2 linked regions of the Arabidopsis thaliana genome follow. The protein of the gene in region 1 interacts with the protein of each later gene in a pairwise test. Each region holds a gene or a part of one and is shown on either strand. Other genes may lie near its edges.

Region 1 (10,534 bases):
AAAAACTCGAACTTTAGAGATTAATTTGAATAATCAATCATACAGAAAACACTAAAATTTGTAAACGACATCAATATACAAATATTTATAAAATTTATGATTAATTTATTTATGATTTAGTTTGAATTTAAATGTAGAATTTGACTAGTTAACCCACAAGGGCATGCAGAGCGGTTCCGAATGTCTTTATGTCTAAAGCAATTTAATTACTAAGCTCATTAGCAATCATAAGACTTGCAAAACTTAGCTATGAACTTTACTCAAAGAGGCGATTGAACTTGAGTTTATTATCTCTCTCAAGAAGAATATTTATCTCTAGAATAAGAAACTTTCAAAATTCTCACAAACACTTGCACACTTGTTTACATCCACACTTGTTTACATCCAAATCATTTTGTATGCGTTTGCTTTTTCCTTTAACCAACCCTTTTTTATTATTTTCTAATTTGAGCATTGCAAAGTCTTTTAGGAAAACTCTCTTTCCCCTCACACATGGTGCGTCCCGAGAGGTTGACAGTTTTCTTTTTGGTGCAAACTTATTTACTTTTTGGTGGTTTAACCATCTCCATCAATGGTTTCTCATTTAGAAACTGTTCAATAGAAAAATAAAATATAATCAAAAAGTATGAGAGAGACTAGAATTAGTCTCTCAAGTGAGAAACTCTGAGAAACCCATAAAAACACTTGTATATCATTTATTGGTCAAATATTATTTTATTGTTAAAATTTAATTATATAACTAATATTTATTAAAATACTAATATCTTTCTTTTTTGAGAAACCAAGAAAATATCTCACTGATGGAGATGCCCTTAATAATTCTCACTAATTCAAGAATCACATGCATAACTTTTTGCTCAAAAACTCTGCACGAACAAATTAGATTACATATGACATATCTACAATTTGTTCCTCCATTTAAGAAATCGAAATGAGAAATCTAGTTAAATTCAAATTTTGTAATTATTACTATTAAGTTGAAACCATTTTATGGCATTGGACCAATACTCTAGAAATAAACCATCATTAGTTAGTCATTGCTAATTTATTTATGGCAATGATATCATCCACTATATTATCTAAGTACGGCTAGCTTCAACCATCCCTAATTTTCTTAACATATATTTGATGATTACAAGTATAGGACTAAATTATATGGATTGCATTATAGTGTAATCTGCTCAATTCTTTATTTTCTAATGGATAAAAGAATCATTTTTTTTTCTTGTTTCTTTTCTTTTGTGCAAAGGATAATGAATCCTTCTTTAGTTCTTTATGTTTGGGATAAAGTTGACGCAAACGTTCATTCTCATGCGTACACGTTTATCCGATGCATAAAAAATAATTCCGACGATGTATCATTTAATTAAACATGCTTAATTTTATATTGATGATGTTTCTGTTCTATATATTGTTGCGTTTAAGACTTCACTACACTATATTAATAATCTAGAAAACTATTTTTTATATAGTAAATGCACGTTGTAGTTGATAAATAATGGTAGTCTGACAATAAGTCGACGAAGATTGATTCAAAATTCTATCCTAGAACCTTGATGTCCACGTTATTAATGCAACTACCCTAAAAGTTTAAATCCTAGATCCTTCAGATCTGCAACCATGTATATGGTATGGCCTTTGGAATATTCAGGATATTCCCACGGTGCTCTTGCAGTTGTGCCCGTCGCTTGCTCTCACCCGCGAACGGCCCTTAAATCCAAACTCATATGATTTGATTTCAAAAGCATTCCATAAAACTGTTTTCTTGTATACAAAGATATAGGTTATGGCTTGTACCACTAGCATCCATATTCCGCAACATGTCAACGAAGATTTCTATAGTTTTAACACAATCATTTTTTTTGTAGATATCTTAGGGTGTCTTCAACTCCACTTAAATTTTCCCTCTATATTTATTAGAGTAAAATCATTTTTAATTCCACACTCTATACATCATTCTAAAACACAGTAAAGGATATGATTACTCTATATATATGTGGAGTAACTCTAATGTTTACTCTATTCTTTTTAGAATAAAATATAATAAAATGATACATTTGAGAAAACCCCTACTCTATTTTAGAATTACTATATTCTAGAGTAAAAAACATACATTGGAGATGATGGTCTTTTAGCTAGATAGGATTTAGGAGCTTCCGCTTGATCAAAAAAAAAAAAAACAGAGAGTTAGGAGCTTCCAAACAAAGTTCAACTATCGTGAGTACATTAACTCATTGCGGATGTTAATATATCTTAGTTGTGGCTTTCACCATTATACTCAAAATAAAAGAAGTGGAGACACTAAGATGTCGACTGGCCTATCAAATGTTGAAAAACCATCAAAACAAAGATCGAGTTGATTAATAATTATACAGTTGTGGCAGATTTTAAAACTAACCCCACAATCTATTAAAACTTGAGAGTGTTCCTTGGAATGAATTCAACATGTGTATTACAACACAATCAAGAAATTAATTCGGTAGGAAACCATGATTTTGATGAGACAATAAACGATTGGATCCGATCAATTTCCCCATAAATTTTTGCAATAATAAAATATGTCAAGGTCAGGTTCCATAACTAAAGGAAAACAATATCTGCATTTCTTTATCGTGTTTCTCCATCTTGCATGAATAAGAAGAATTGTTAAAAAGTGAATGCATACCTTGTTGATCTAATAACTAAAAAAAAAAAAAAAAGAGAAGGATCAACTGATTTACACCAAAGACATCTTAATTTGATTGGATCTAGCCAGTAGCCACCTCTCATAAAAGTTTAAAAGACTTTCTAACCAATAGATGTTGTTTTTTGTTTTGGTTTTAATGTTAAATCCAATAGATTTTGTTCTTCTCTTGAATTGTGTGATGTTTCAACAAGTCTGGCAAATACACAGTGGTTCGTATAATTGGACGATGTCTACCCTAGTTTGGGCTCATTTGGTTTCTTGTTGAAATCCAGTTTTGGGAACTAAAAATCATTATAAAATTTTAACAACAAAATTTTCATATCTAGAAACTAAATAAACACACATGAGAAGTAAGATTTCAAAAATATCTGTAATTGAGTTAGAATCAAAACAAACTTTACAAGATCATGTGAAAAAAATATACATATATTATTTTTATATAAGTATATCGGACACAGTTGTAAAATTTGAGAGAAATTATTTATGAAAAATCAATTCAAAATAATATATATAAAAAACAAATAGTTTTTTCCCCCATAAAATATCACGATTGTATACAAATTTGTTGGGCAAAAACAATACTATGAAAATTTTCATAATTAGATAATTTATTTATGCAAGTTTTTTTTTGTTATTGACTTTTTTATTTATTTAGAAGAATATATCCTTATGAAAATCATAACAAAGAAAGAGAGTTTAGTTTTGCCTAAATTAGGATCAAATAAAAAAACAAAATTCCTGACCCATACCACTCTACGACCTCCCTCAAAAAAAAACAAAAAAGAAAAAAAAACAATAAAAAAATCGACTTTTTAGCATCTGCTTGAGCGCGAGAGGTTCATGATTCCAGGAATCTCGTGCCCAATTATATAGCTTTCCATTTCTGTGGCTTTGTAATCTGATCGGAAATCGAAAACAAACAATTTTATTTTCTTAAAAAAACAAGATCGTGGAGGAGAGATGGATGATCGGCACGAAGGAGACCATCATGATATAGAGGTTGAAGGAGGAGCTTTACATGGTTTCGAGAGGAAGATATCTGGGATTCTAGACGATGGATCTGTCGGATTTCGACAGCCTCTTCTCGCTAGGAATCGAAAGAACACAACTTCTCAGATCGCTATTGTCGGAGCTAATACTTGTCCCATCGAAAGCCTTGATTACGAGTCTGTCCTTTTTCTCCCTCTTCTCTTTTCTTCTGCACATAACTTGATGTTTCGTTCTTTTTTCTGGATAAAGTTTTTAACTTTGGCAATTAGACTTTAATATGCTTAAATGTTTTCGATTAGTTTTTAAACTTCATCTCAAATTTGATTATGAGTCTATGAAGTTTTGGATTATGTAACATTTTGGGTCCCATCCCATGTATAATTTTTAAATCATAATGTTTTCATTTTTAATACTTTTGGGTAAAAATTGAAGCTTTTAGCTTTTGAGAGACATCATAGCCACTTCACCTAGCAATAGGTATGCTATACAATCTATTAGATTGAGAAAAGTGCAAATCTTTTTGGGGTCTTTATGATGATGCAATCATAGTTTCAGACTGAATTTGACTTTTTGTCTTTGTGTGTGTCTCCTACTGGTGTCTTGCCTAATTTGGTGTGAATGATTATAGCTTATGTAAACATATCAGGATCTTGACTTGGGATTTTTATTTGGCAGGATCTTCGAAAATGATTTTTTCAAGCAAGACTGGAGGTCTAGGAAGAAGATTGAGATACTTCAGTATACGTTTCTCAAATGGGCGCTTGCTTTTCTTATTGGTTTAGCTACTGGACTTGTTGGCTTTTTGAATAACCTTGGTGTTGAGAATATAGCTGGATTTAAACTCTTGCTCATCGGTAATCTCATGCTCAAGGAAAAGTAAGTCTAGCTTTTGTTGTTTATCTCTGCTTCTACGCCATTTTTTAGCACTTTCTATCCTGTTTCAGTTACTGTTTATTCACTGATTATATCTAAATTTCTTAATGGTTAATACTGTTATGAGAATTAAGGCTCACAGGGATATATGTGTGGATCAGAATGATAAATGACATCGGATGTTTCTCAAATACTGCAGATATTTCCAGGCATTTTTTGCATTTGCTGGTTGTAACTTAATTTTGGCAACTGCTGCTGCTTCACTCTGTGCTTTTATTGCTCCTGCGGCGGCAGGATCTGGCATACCTGAGGTTAAAGCATATCTCAATGGTATAGATGCTTATTCAATATTAGCTCCAAGCACCCTCTTTGTTAAGGTAAGATCCCCAAACAACTTTCCAAGCAGTCTTTGTTCATCCTGAATTTAGCATTGATGTCTTTGTTCATCTCTGTGGCCTTTTCTGATACGAAATATTTCGTATTGGTAGATCTTTGGCTCTATATTTGGAGTTGCTGCCGGATTTGTAGTTGGAAAAGAAGGGCCTATGGTTCATACTGGTGCTTGCATTGCTAATTTACTTGGACAAGGTGGTTCCAAAAAGTACCGGTTGACTTGGAAGTGGCTCAGATTCTTCAAAAACGATAGAGACAGAAGAGACCTGATCACTTGCGGGGCTGCTGCTGGTGTAGCAGCTGCCTTCCGTGCTCCAGTTGGAGGAGTGCTTTTCGCCCTTGAAGAAGCTGCTTCATGGTATTTTCTGTTTCTCTCTAACTCCTTATAACTAATCCAAGGAGTGATACCTTATGCAAGTCTAGTCATTGTAGTAGACAGACTCTGAAAGGGGAAGCTTCTCCCCAGCTAGAAGTCTTAATGCAAAAGTGCAAGAAGGTCACCATGTTTGTCTAGTTGAAAACATAATGTATCCAACATGACTTCTTTATGCAAATGGAAGTTAGTGAGCGAGGAAATCTAAGTGATACATAGTGTAGAGTTTAGACGGTTTGCGTATATTGCTATATCCATTTGGAAAAGATTATGTCTCACTTTTTTAATATCGTTAGGTGGAGGAATGCCCTTCTCTGGAGGACATTCTTCACTACCGCAGTTGTAGCAGTGGTCTTACGAAGTTTGATTGAGTTCTGTCGCTCTGGGAGATGTGGACTGTTTGGGAAAGGAGGTCTCATCATGTTTGATGTAAACTCGGGACCAGTGCTATATAGCACTCCAGATTTGCTAGCAATAGTATTCCTTGGAGTTATTGGTGGTGTGCTTGGAAGCCTTTACAACTACCTTGTGGACAAAGTCCTCCGCACATATAGCATTATAAACGAGTACGTCATTTCTCAACAAGTTAACTCTTTCATAAAGTCATTTTCCAACGAGTTACTCTTTCATAATATCATTTCTTTGCCTCTTTTCGATTTTCTTAATTTGTTCTTTCCATAACTTGCAGGAAAGGTCCGAGATTTAAAATTATGCTTGTAATGGCAGTTTCCATTTTGAGCTCGTGTTGCGCATTTGGTCTCCCATGGCTTTCACAGTGTACTCCATGTCCTATTGGCATAGAGGAGGGAAAGTGCCCTAGTGTAGGTCGATCCAGCATCTATAAGAGTTTCCAGTGTCCTCCAAACCATTACAATGACCTTTCCTCCCTACTTCTCAACACCAATGATGATGCAATCCGTAATCTTTTCACATCCAGATCTGAAAATGAATTCCATATCTCTACCCTTGCCATCTTCTTTGTCGCAGTGTACTGCCTTGGCATCATAACATACGGCATAGCCATACCCTCTGGGCTTTTCATTCCTGTCATTCTTGCTGGAGCCTCTTATGGACGACTAGTGGGTAGACTGCTGGGTCCAGTATCTCAGCTTGATGTAGGTCTGTTTTCTCTGCTCGGAGCTGCTTCCTTCCTTGGAGGCACAATGAGAATGACGGTCTCTCTATGTGTTATACTGCTCGAACTTACAAATAATCTCCTAATGCTGCCACTGGTGATGCTTGTACTCCTTATATCAAAAACGGTTGCAGATTGTTTCAACAGGGGGGTCTATGACCAGATTGTAACAATGAAAGGACTGCCTTACATGGAAGACCATGCAGAGCCGTACATGCGCAATTTGGTTGCAAAGGACGTAGTTTCTGGAGCTTTGATATCCTTTTCGAGAGTTGAAAAGGTTGGGGTAATATGGCAGGCTTTAAAAATGACAAGACATAATGGTTTCCCTGTAATTGATGAGCCACCTTTCACAGAAGCTTCTGAGCTATGTGGGATTGCCTTGAGATCTCATCTCCTTGTGCTTCTCCAAGGGAAGAAATTCTCGAAGCAGAGAACAACTTTTGGTTCACAAATTCTGAGAAGTTGCAAAGCCCGTGACTTTGGTAAAGCAGGGTTAGGTAAGGGGCTCAAGATTGAAGATTTGGATCTAAGTGAGGAGGAGATGGAGATGTATGTTGATCTCCATCCCATCACTAACACATCTCCTTACACTGTGCTTGAGACTCTGTCTCTAGCTAAGGCGGCTATTCTTTTCCGGCAACTTGGTCTTCGCCACTTGTGTGTGGTGCCTAAAACACCAGGGGTCAGTCTCTTTCTCGCTCTCTCTTCCTCTCGCTAGACTTGTTTATGTTTCTAACGCGTATGTTTTCGTATTGCAGAGACCGCCTATTGTTGGAATACTGACAAGGCATGATTTCATGCCGGAACATGTCCTGGGACTCTACCCTCACATTGATCCCCTCAAGTGAATAAGGTTAGCCGTTTAGTCTTCGTTGTTGCCTGCATTTGGTTGCTCTAATTGTTTTCTAAATCCAATTGGCACTTGTTCTTGCAGGTAATAAAGAATGGAGAAACAAGTACGTGAGAGTTCTCTAAAGATCTACAATGTAATAATATGTGAATATCAAAAAATTAAAAGCCCAGATGACCAATGTCACTTAGGCATTTATTTCAATTATTCGTTGAGATTGATTATGGAAAAGCAGGGGAAGGATGATTGTGTAATGAGGTGATACAAGTTTTTTTTTTTTGGGTTTTGGTTTTCACAACATTTATTCAAAACAATAAATAAAAACTAAACATGTAATTATATTATAAGTCGATATCAATTTTGCTCTAATCTTCTTTACATGTAGGTAGTCTGTGTATTATTTGTGTTTTAAATTCATGGTTATATAAAAATCTGTTTGCTTGATATTCAAGTGTTACTGTTTTTGGTGACTATAAAGTAATAAACGCATAATCAGAGAATGACATTAGATATTCTTTCTGAGTAAATCGAAACTAGTTTCTTTCATACCAAAATAGAGTTACTGACACCACAATTATAGCAGACATAACGAACCAGAGGTAGACATAGATAAGGCCAGTGTTTTAAGCTGCGGCTTTCGAGTTTCAGTTTCTATTCAGCAGGCTTTAGAAATATACAAAACACAGAGTTGGAAATAAGGACGCAGTGCTCTCAATATAGCGTCCGACGGTTGAATGATTCCATCGTTAAGTTGGCTGTAAAAGCTGGAATCGAGTTGAATTTCCTGATGAATATTTCTATCTGCAAGAAACACACAGAATGAGTTTTTACACTTCACTGAGAACACTGCGCTTATGAAGGAAGAAAACTATGTCTGTACTTTACCTGCTTCGCTATGTCGCCCTGAGAGGCATACTCATTGTTCTGAAGGAATTAAATCAGTATCAGTTGATTAACTGATTCAAATGCAGCATATCAAAGTTATACAATTTACAAGAATCACTTACTAGAATACTGGTGTTTCCTGACTCGTATTCAAACTCGAGTTTTTCATCATCACTTTGAGCATATATAGACTGGAGAGTAAACCGAGTCACTGGGATTCCATTGGGACGCTGATGTTCGTCCATTACAATCTGCCAGAGTTTTCAAAAGGAATTCACAAGTTTACAAGTTCTGTAGATGAATAAGACTCTTTGATCATCTATCTACACGAATAACGGAAGGTAAGGAAAACTATAGATAGCAATAGCTGAATCCCTCTTTGCAACAGAAACGCGCAGTTCATAGACCGTAAAAAATGGACAAAAGTACGAACATTACATTTTACAATGTGATAGTCAACATTCAGAAAACTGAAATATCCAGAATCATTGCCTTCAGGGAACCATTGTAATGCTAAAGAATAAAATTTGAGTGCTACGACATAATTATGAGCAAGTGGCATACCTTATAACCAAAAAGCTCACAACAAGCCCTTCTAAACACGGAAATTCTATCAGCAAAAACAGTTTTGTACCTGTTTCATAATTCATAGGCTCCACATATGTTTTAGTATGGGAAATCAAGGTCATATTTGCACAAAGGACATGTTAAACATTTATCAGTAACAAACCTCTCTTCACGTTTTTCAAGCGTAGCATTTTGCTCTTTTAGTTGAGCAATCTTTCCAGTTATATGAGAGTCAACTAGCTTCCCAGCATCTCCTGAATATTCATGAAAAAGAATTTACAGTAAAGCATATTTAGTAAATAAGAATAACATTTTTGAAACACTACAATATTTCTTCTCAAGTCCTCCGGAGGCAGATCAACAGAAAGATTTTGGCCCTCCCTTTTATTCTCGGAAACATAGAATATGATGTAGAGAATAGGGTCACAGAGAAATTAAGGTATGCTTCTCCAGTGAATTTTGTGGTGAGAGTAAAATTGAATGGTAGACTTGTAGCAAACTCAGTATCAAAAACAGGAAAGGTCGACAATCAGAAATTTACCAGACTGGCTCTTTAATTCTTCAACAGCTTGAAGTCTTTCTTTTGTCTTCTGTAACTCAGCTTGTAAAGCCTCTATTGTTTGTTTTGCCTCGTTTTCAACACCAAGAGTATTCACCATGCGCAAAACCCTTGTATTTGCGGCAGAATAATCACCATGACCCAGCTGCCAAATATATGTTACTGTTCAGATCAAACTCTAGGGTAGAAGTTAGAGGTCCTAAATAGCATTTCTATTCGCTTTTACAATAATAAAATCTTCCATGAAACCTAAGAAAAACATAAGATGCAGGACATAAAATTCGCCATTCACCCTTAAAAACTTTTATTATTCATTTCGACCATGGCAGATGAAAGTTCCATAAGCAAATATTTTCTTTGGCAATCTTTTTTACAAGCACACATCTCTAGCATCTGTACCTTTGACTCCAGTAAAGAGATCTCAGAGCGAAGACGATCACTATCCCTTTCCAGCGACTTATTCCTCCTTGCTTCATCAACTAGTTTCTCATTTAGAAGTTCTATTTCAGTACGTTGACGATTATTGACATCCTTCAGTTGATTTAGATCCTGCTCTAAATCCTTAATATAGTTCTCCTTCTTTGCAAGAGAAGATTCAAACCCCTGTATATATAAGCAAAATAAGCTTTATGCTTCCAACAAAAAAGAAGGAAAATCTTCAAAATAAGAACTGTGTTATTCTAGAACCTGAATAAGGGCTCCATCTGCGGCTCCAGACACAGATCCTTCACTGTTTGACTTCCTTAATTCATTAACAACAGCTTTCAACTGTTCTTTCTCCTCCGTGACCAAAGTGAGCTTTATTACAAATTAAAGCTCTGTTAGTAATAGTGCAACAAACTGATAGAAAATTATAAAAAGTTACCTCCAATGAGACACTATAAACTTAATTCCCTTGAATTGTGATAGATTCATGATTAAATAAAAAGTTGTTTGCAACAAATTCTATACTACACACATTATCTCTTATCCTGAAAGGACACTATATTATGGATAAATCAACTCATCATAAATTCGTGATAGACTCATGTTTGGATACGAAGGAATTTGCACCAAAATCTAACAATTGAATACACTCATTAGGAACAAACAGACTTTCCCCACATATATAGAGATATTAAATCTGTACTAATTGATAACAAACCCAACGTGAACATCCAAAAATACTAGGGATATTATCCTATGAATATCGTCTCTAACTATATTACTTCTATCAGCTT
Region 2 (8,295 bases), 5.1 Mb from region 1:
GTGTGAGACGTTACTCAATCGTTTATGGTCACATAAGTCGGGGTGGCCATTTCGTACTCCAGTTGATCCAGTGATGTTGAATATTCCAGACTATTTTAATGTGATTAAACATCCAATGGATCTTGGAACGATACGAAGCAGGCTGTGTAAAGGTGAATACTCTAGTCCTTTGGACTTTGCAGCAGATGTGCGTCTTACATTTTCAAATTCTATAGCTTACAATCCACCAGGAAATCAGTTCCATACTATGGCTCAGGGTATCAGTAAATATTTTGAATCGGGATGGAAAAGTATAGAGAAAAAAATACCTATGTCTAAACCACCAGTTATTCCCCTAACCAGTTCTGCTTCTCTGGAGTCTGAAATCCCTTTCGAAGTAGCACCGATGAGAAAGAAGGAAGCTGCAATGAACGATAACAAGCTGAGGGTGGAACCTGCTAAGTTGGTCATGACAGATGGTGAGAAGAAAAAATTAGGCCAAGATCTGATGGCATTAGAAGAAGATTTCCCTCAAAAGATTGCTGATCTCCTGAGAGAGCAAAGTGGCAGTGATGGTCAATCTGGAGAAGGTGAGATTGAGATAGATATAGAAGCGCTTTCTGATGAAATCTTGTTCATGGTTCGGAAACTCCTGGATGACTATTTAAGGGAGAAAAAGAAATCCATGGAAAAGAGCGAACCTTGTGAGATGGAGGTAAAGAACCTCTCTGATTATTTTTAGTAATCGTTTGTGTGCACTTGGAAATGTTGACATTTGACTTTTGGTTTTAACTTTTCTTTTACAGATTGTTCATGACTCTGGATTCAGTAATTCCCCTTTGCAGCCTAGTAAAGGTATGTTTTTGCTATTTAATTTGATGTCGAAAATGATTTCCTTCAGTAATCTGAGTATCTGATGTACTCATAATCACAGGTGATCTGCAAATTGACGAGGATGTTGACATAGTTGGTGGGAATGACCCCTCGGTCTCAAGCCATCCTCCTCTTAAGATAGAAAAAGATGCTGCATGTAGAAATAATGAAAGCAGCAGTTCGAGTAGCTCTAGTAGTGAATCAGGCTCTTCATCTAGTGGTTCGTGTTTATGCGAGCCTTCTTCTATTTCCTTAGAATAATCATTTTGTTTCTCTTAAATAGTGCATTGATTTGTACAGTTTGTAAGAATAGTTAAGATTGGAAATAAAGTAACTTTTCTATTGAAATGATTAGTATTGGACTCCTGAGTCTTGTTTTGTAATTTGAGCCTACGTCGTGTCCCATATTATCTTTTCGATGCTTTTTCTCTGCTCTAGTAAGTGTGGTTATTCCCTTGCTATAGAGGATATTATAGTTAGTTTCTGTGGTTATCGTTTATGACGAATGAATTAAGTTCTTACATTGTGGTTTGGCAAACTGTAGAATTGATTCCTTTGCTTTATTTTTACTCATAGGAAGTGCTTTTTATACTGATGTGTTCTGTGATTATCTTTCAGATTCTGATTCTTGTAGTTCCTCTGGGAGTGAAACAGATTCTATTAAAGCTTCAAAACCCACAAGTAGAGAGGTATATCTAACAGTGGAATAACTTATGTTATGGAGTCTCTGTGTTTGGATGTTGCTCTAATTTCTGCAAGATTTTTCATTTACTCACCAATATTTCCATGGACTATTTGCAATCATAAAAGTGAAATTACTACAGAAAAATAAGTATAGTCTCCTCTTTAATTTAGGAAAAAAAGCAACCAGGAGTTGGTATAGACAAAAAAGAGGATGATAGCAACAGTGAGAAGATAGTTGTAAATGGTTAGTCTCTTTATAATTGATGTATGCAAGTTGGAGTGCTCGGATATAGAAGTCTTCCCGACACTCATTCTTTGTTCTCTGTAGATTCTTTGAATGAATTGGATCAACTTGAGCATACTGTTGGGGAAAAGTCAACCACCATGGATGCAGTAGTTCTCGTTCCAGATGGTAAGAAATGAAAGTTAAGGAAGGTTGGAGATGGTAATAGATGTTTATTTTCAGATCATGAGTTTACCTGTCATGCTTTGGTATTATAGAGGAGACTGCTCCACCTGAGAGGCAAATTTCCCCAGATTCCCCAGATAAGCGTTACCGCGCGGCTTTCTTGAAGAATCGTTTTGCTGATACCATTATGAAAGCTCGAGAGAAGGCTTTTACCAAGGTTGAATTTTTAAGTGTCCGATCTACTGTGTTGACGAAAAAGCTCGCCTGAACTTGTGGATTGTTTTAATCAAAAAATTTAATGCATCAAATTTCAGGGTGAAAAAGGGGATCCTGAAAAATTGAGGATAGAAAGAGAGGAGTTTGAAAAACGGCTACGGGAAGGTTGGATTGTAGTGCATTCGAGTGTGCTTATGTACCCATAATTCCTAACTAAATACTTTTATTTTTAATTCTTGCGATTTCCGTTTGATTAGAAAAAGAACGGTTACAAGCCGAGGCCAAAGCAGCTGAGGAGGCTCGGAGAAAAGCCAAAGCAGAAGCCGCAGAAAAAGCGAGGAGGGAAAGAGAGCAAGAGAGAGAAGCTGCACGTCAAGCTTTACAAAAGGTATAAAAGACTTTTCGAGTTTCTCTTCTATTATTCAGAGCCCTACCATGGTGTACAATCATGATAAATGACTTTCTGGTCTGTTGCAGATGGAAAAGACAGTGGAGATAAACGAGGGCATACGGTTTATGGAAGACCTCCAGATGCTTAGAGCTACAGGTACAGAAGGTGATCAATTACCGACTTCCATGGAAGTGATGAGTCCCAAGTTTAGTGAGGATATGTTGGGTTTGGGTAGTTTCAAGATGGAAAGCAACAGTAATCCATTAGAACATCTAGGTCTGTATATGAAAATGGATGAGGATGAGGATGAAGAAGAAGACCCGCCACACTTTAGCCAGAGAAAAGTAGAAGACAATCCCTTTGACAGAAGTGAAAAACAGGAACATAGTCCTCACAGAGTAGAAGGAGAGGATCAACTCGTTAGCGGAAATGAAGAGCCGGTGAGCCAAGAGGCACATGATAATGGGGACCAAGAAGATGGAAAACCCATAAACCCAAATGAAATAGAACGACAACTGGAGAATATGCCAGAGCAAGAAAGTGGAGTTGGTGACAAGGAAGAGCAAGAAACTGAAGTTGTCGATATGAGAAAGCAAGAAAATGAAGTTGTTGATATGGGAGTGGAAGAAGTACATCCCCTTGACCGAAGTGAAGGGCGTACACTCAGTCCTCACAGAAAAGAGAGAGAGGACCCACGTGCTAGCGGTAATGAAGAATCGGTAAGCGAAAAGGCACAAGATTATGAGAACCAAAGAGATGAAAAAATCAATCAAAGCGAGAGAGAAGAACAATTGGAGAATGTGCTAGAGCAAGAAAGTAGTAGAGATGATGATACAGGAGAGCAAGAAACTGAAGTTGTCGGAGTAGGAAAAGAACTTTCCCTTGACAAAAGTGAAGGACAAACACTTAGTCCTCACAGAGAAGAGGGAGAGAACCAACTCGATTGTGGAAACGAAGAACTGGTAAGCCAAAAGACACAAGATAATGGGAACCAAGAAGATGAAAAATCCATCAATAAAATTGAAGGAGAAGAACAATTGGCGAATGTGCCAGAGCAAGAAAGTAGAGTTACTGAAAAAGAAGAACAAGAAACTGGAGTTGTCGACTTGGGAGAGCAAAAAAGCGAAGTTGTCGAAAAGGGGGTAGAAGAAAATGAAGCTGTTGACAATGGTGAGGGAGTGCAAGGAACTGAAGTTTCGGACAAGGGAGGAAACGAAACTGTAGTTGATGGCAATGGAAAGGTAGAAACCGAAGTTGTGGACAAGGCAGGGCAAAAAACTGACCTTGTTGACCAGGGAGAGGAAGATATAGATGTAGAAATTGATTGATGAAGTCTTTTTTCCGGGTCTTGTTAAAAGCAACAAGATGAAAAGAAAAAGTTGGGGATGTTTACGCATTGATTCTTCTATGCACAAAATGTAAATTTGATGTGGCGTGAAATGGCTAAAGCAAGCAAAAGAAAGGCAAAGCCAGATACATCTAGAAGACAAGACGATGAGTCTGTATTGCCTATTTTTCAACGTGACTCTGTTGACAATGATTCTAAATCGACGAAAAAAGAAAAAGAAAAAAACAATTTTGCTACAAGAAAGATGGTTTGGTTTGGTATTAAAGCAGCAAATTGTGCGACTGTTGAAATGTGCAGACTTTTGTTTTTTTTAATCTTTTAGAAGAGTAAACTGTACAGGGAAAGAGAAAGAGTCTGTTTCCTCCATTTAAACGAGACACTCTTTGTACTCGAGATCACTTTTTAAATTACTTCTGAGCACTGATACTTTTTGATTGATCAACTAAACCCAAATTATCTTCGCTTCTGGATAAAGGGTATTTATGTCAATTAACTTTGTTCTTATAAGATGATGATGCGAAGACACTGAGAGAAGCTAAGACAAAGCGCAGAAAATGGTGGGAGCGACTGTAGTTAGTAAATGGACTCCCCTATGTGTGGCTTCGCCGCCGGAGAGAAACTCGGCAAGTCTCAATCCACACTGTTCTCCAGCCAGGGTTAATTTTAGAACAGCGTTGGCCGCATTTCGTCCTCAGTTCCGTCTTTTCTCTCGCAATTCCGCGTCTCGCCGCCGTCTTCGCGCTTCCAGCTCCGCCGAATCGGGAATCTTCCTTCCTCACCTTGTAGCTTCTATGGTTTGTGTGCTTCCCCTCCATTTATGCGAATTACTTTGTTTTCTTAGTACTTACATTGATTAAACTCCGAAATCAGGAATTTAGGATTCAAATTAGTTTGGATATATTCTAATTTGATGAATCTCAATGCAATTTAGTGACCTTTTGATTGTTCTTACGTTGTTTTCTGTATTGTTTCAGGAGGACGTTGAGGAGACTTACATTATGGTGAAACCTGATGGCATACAACGAGGCCTTGTAAGCGTTTTTGCTTTTCATTTTTTTTCTTCTTCTGATTTTGAGGTTAAATTATGTATCTTGGAACTCTATGGAGCTTTGAATGTTATTTCATTACACTATCTTGGCTTAAATTATGAATGTATGATTCATTTGATGTTCTTAGGTAGGAGAAATCATTTCTCGCTTTGAGAAAAAGGGGTTTAAACTTATTGGGCTCAAGATGTTTCAGTGCCCAAAAGAATTGGCTGAGGTTTGACACTCACTCATTACATCAGTAGTTTGATAACTTTAGATTGCTTCTTAATGTGATATAACTAATAAATCATTGACAAGTATCGAGAAATTGAAGCCTGATCATGACTTGCATATTTCACTTATTCGCTACATTTGCGTAAGATGACGCTGCCTCATTTTTTTTTCATATTCGATTGACATAATTAATATTCTTGTGTGTTTATCTCAATTGCCAGGAGCATTATAAGGATCTTAGTGCTAAATCATTCTTTCCTAACCTGATTGAGTACATCACTTCAGGTCCAGTTGTGTGTATGGTATGGGTATAACTATGCTCTAATTTGATTTTTACTTGTTTTCAAGTTGTAATTAGATGAGTTAATTGCATGTGATGTTTTAAACCTGGTAAAGGCTTGGGAAGGTGTTGGTGTTGTTGCTTCAGCCAGGAAGCTAATAGGGAAAACAGATCCGCTTCAAGCTGAACCTGGTACTATAAGAGGAGATCTTGCTGTGCAAACCGGAAGGTTGGACTTCTATCATCTTTAAAATTGTTGGAAGTAAGCACTTAAAATAATTCTCATGGTTTGATATTTTTAAATTATGCAATTTGCAGGAACATTGTGCATGGTAGTGACAGCCCTGAAAACGGCAAGCGTGAGATTGGTGAGATTTCTTGTTTTTTGTTCAAATCATTCACCCATCTTTCATTGTTGAGACATTGACTATGTCCAGTTTAGGGGCAAATCAACGTGGTTCAAACTGCTTCAAATTAACTTGATAACATAACTAGATTAGATCATACTTGATTACTGAAATTGTTAGGTTCAATATATCTGTTTTAAACCATTACTATCACTTCTTCATTTACTTAGTTTGACCAATCACTCTCATTCCTTAGTATGCTAAACTTTTAGTTTTCATTTGCTGACATTTTGGCTCTTGTGGTTGTGGCATAGGTCTGTGGTTCAAAGAGGGCGAGCTATGCAAGTGGGATTCGGCTCTAGCTACATGGCTAAGGGAGTGATCCTTGAGAAGACAGAGTCAATTATAATGGTGTCCTTACTTGTTTTCTTGTTACCGATGATGAGCTTTGGTGTTTTGTTCCTGATTTTGGGCGGCAATATAATATAACTGCCAATCTATGGCTTGATTCTTCTCATATCTGTGATCACTTGTCATGTAATCAAAACTAGTTACAGATTCATCTGCATTTGGTTCTACGTTACAGACACCTCCAAAATCATTCATCTTCACTCTACACCGAGCAATGAAAATTTTCTAATCTCAAGCTAAAAGAACATACAAAAGAGTGGCTTTACAAAACGCAGATGCTGCGTGATTAAGATTGCTCAGATCAGTGTACCGGAATATCATTCCGGTTTACTTCTAAGACCGGTTGGTATATGGAATCTCAATGTCCTCAGGAGGAAGTTCCCAGTGATCGTCTTGTTCGTCTTCTCTGGATGCATTTCTGTTGTGCTTGCGGATCTCTGAAGTTGATAGTGGTTTTGGTTTAGGGTTTGGTCTCCTGTAAAATCAAAATCTATTGACTCAACTTCTCCAAGTGTTTTTCGAAAGAAAGAAGAAAAAGTGAAAAAAAAATCTGACCTTTTCCGATACTTCTTCGCAGCTTCTTTGGTCTTCCGCGTCTTCTTCTCCAGAGAGCTCTCGAAGAAGCGTCGTCTTCGAGATTCCTGCAACACACCCGCTCTGAAACACGACCTCTTGAAATCGTTAACCAGCTGCTCCTCCGATTCGCCGTCTTTAGGCACCACCTCGACGTTGTAGTAACTGGACTTGAAGAATACGAGATTCGCGTTCGCCAGCGAAGGATACGCCACTCGATTGATGACGTCATCGTGCTCGGCCGTTAAAATCTTCGTCGTCATCGACAAATGCTGTGACGTTCTCGCGGATACGGAAGACGGAAGCGTGATAGGTTTCAGACTCGACGGAGACGGTGGTTTCGACGAGAGAAGGGAAGAGAGAAGCTCCGAGAGAGAGACTATCGATTCTAGCGCCATTTTTTTTTCCGTCTGAATAAGTGAATAATCGTTTCATTCTTATTATAATATTTTTCAATTGTAATTAGTGTGTTAATTAGATGGTCAAGTCTTTAGTGAGTCTACTTTCTGACTAAAACGACGACGTTGAAGCATATAAAACGAGACCAGTGAACTTTGATCTTTGAAAGCTTTCTCTCTTCGTCTCTCTGGCTCTCTTTCTTTTTCTCTCGTTTTATTTGGTAATTATGCTGAAAACAACGATTTCTCCAATTTTCTCATCGTTTACAGGTAAACCCAAGTGCTCATCGAAGTTGTTTTTTCGAGCTTTTAGTAAGGTTGTTCTACAAGATACTCCACCAAGTGCTCGACGAAATGCGTCAACCAATCTTACTACGTTACACAAAGGTCCACCAACCTCAGCCTACGTTCATCTTCCGTTTTGTCGCAAACGCTGTCATTATTGTGACTTTCCTATCTTAGCTCTAGGCATGTCTTCTTCTTCAGCCAGACCGTCTAATGTCTACGAGGAAGGAAAAGAAGATGACCCGAGAATCACGAACTATGTGAATTTGCTTGTTAGAGAGATAAAAGCGACAAGGACGGATTTTGATACGAACCCGAATCTAGAAACGGTGTTTTTCGGTGGTGGGACGCCTTCTCTTGTTCCTCCGAAGCTTGTTTCTTTGATTCTGGAAACATTGAGTTTGAATTTCGGGCTGAGTCCAGATGCTGAGATATCAATGGAGATGGATCCAGGCACGTTTGATGGTCAGAAGCTGAAGGATTTGATGAAATTGGGAGTTAACAGAGTGTCTTTAGGAGTTCAAGCTTTTCAAGATGAGCTTTTGAAAGCTTGTGGAAGAGCTCATGGTGTCTCTCAAGTGTATGAAGCAATAGAGTTTGTTAAAGAATGTGGAGTTGAGAATTGGAGTATGGATCTTATTTCTTCTCTGCCTCACCAGACTTTGGAGATGTGGGAAGAGAGTTTGAGATTAGCTATCGAATCACAGCCCAATCATGTTTCTGTATATGATCTGCAAGTCGAACAAGGCACAAAGTTTGGAAATTTGTAAGTGTACGTAGTTCAAGTTTGCTTACTGATGCTTAAGAACTTGAATGTAATCTGAACAGAAACGAATTGG

The links.
Region 2: the proteins of CLC-C (region 1) and NDPK2 interact in a protein complementation assay, tested with the Arabidopsis thaliana proteins (one large-scale study listed by BioGRID).

What each region holds. Positions count from the first base shown.
Region 1 is NC_003076.8:20,285,256-20,295,789, reverse strand, and holds CLC-C (chloride channel C), read left to right. Parts: upstream 1-3,357; 5' UTR 3,358-3,646; coding exon 3,647-3,852; intron 3,853-4,351; coding exon 4,352-4,552; intron 4,553-4,748; coding exon 4,749-4,926; intron 4,927-5,037; coding exon 5,038-5,300; intron 5,301-5,611; coding exon 5,612-5,881; intron 5,882-6,003; coding exon 6,004-7,135; intron 7,136-7,211; coding exon 7,212-7,301; 3' UTR 7,302-7,306; intron 7,307-7,387; 3' UTR 7,388-7,735; downstream 7,736-10,534. Other genes in the region: MAD1 (mitotic checkpoint family protein), read right to left, coding at 8,015-8,104, 8,189-8,227, 8,311-8,439, 8,753-8,822, 8,919-9,009, 9,297-9,459, 9,714-9,917, 10,002-10,112. UniProt on the Arabidopsis thaliana protein: Voltage-gated chloride channel.
Region 2 is NC_003076.8:25,369,998-25,378,292, reverse strand, and holds NDPK2 (nucleoside diphosphate kinase 2), read left to right. Parts: upstream 1-4,388; 5' UTR 4,389-4,454; coding exon 4,455-4,694; intron 4,695-4,874; coding exon 4,875-4,931; intron 4,932-5,076; coding exon 5,077-5,163; intron 5,164-5,383; coding exon 5,384-5,464; intron 5,465-5,558; coding exon 5,559-5,671; intron 5,672-5,760; coding exon 5,761-5,810; intron 5,811-6,103; coding exon 6,104-6,171; 3' UTR 6,172-6,389; downstream 6,390-8,295. Other genes in the region: NPX1 (nuclear protein X1), read left to right, coding at 1-694, 786-834, 914-1,072, 1,471-1,541, 1,708-1,780, 1,865-1,948, 2,038-2,162, 2,260-2,326 and 2 more; AT5G63300 (Ribosomal protein S21 family protein), read right to left, coding at 6,518-7,171; AT5G63290 (Radical SAM superfamily protein), read left to right, coding at 7,399-8,222. UniProt on the Arabidopsis thaliana protein: Major role in the synthesis of nucleoside triphosphates other than ATP. The ATP gamma phosphate is transferred to the NDP beta phosphate via a ping-pong mechanism, using a phosphorylated active-site intermediate. May activate MPK3 and MPK6.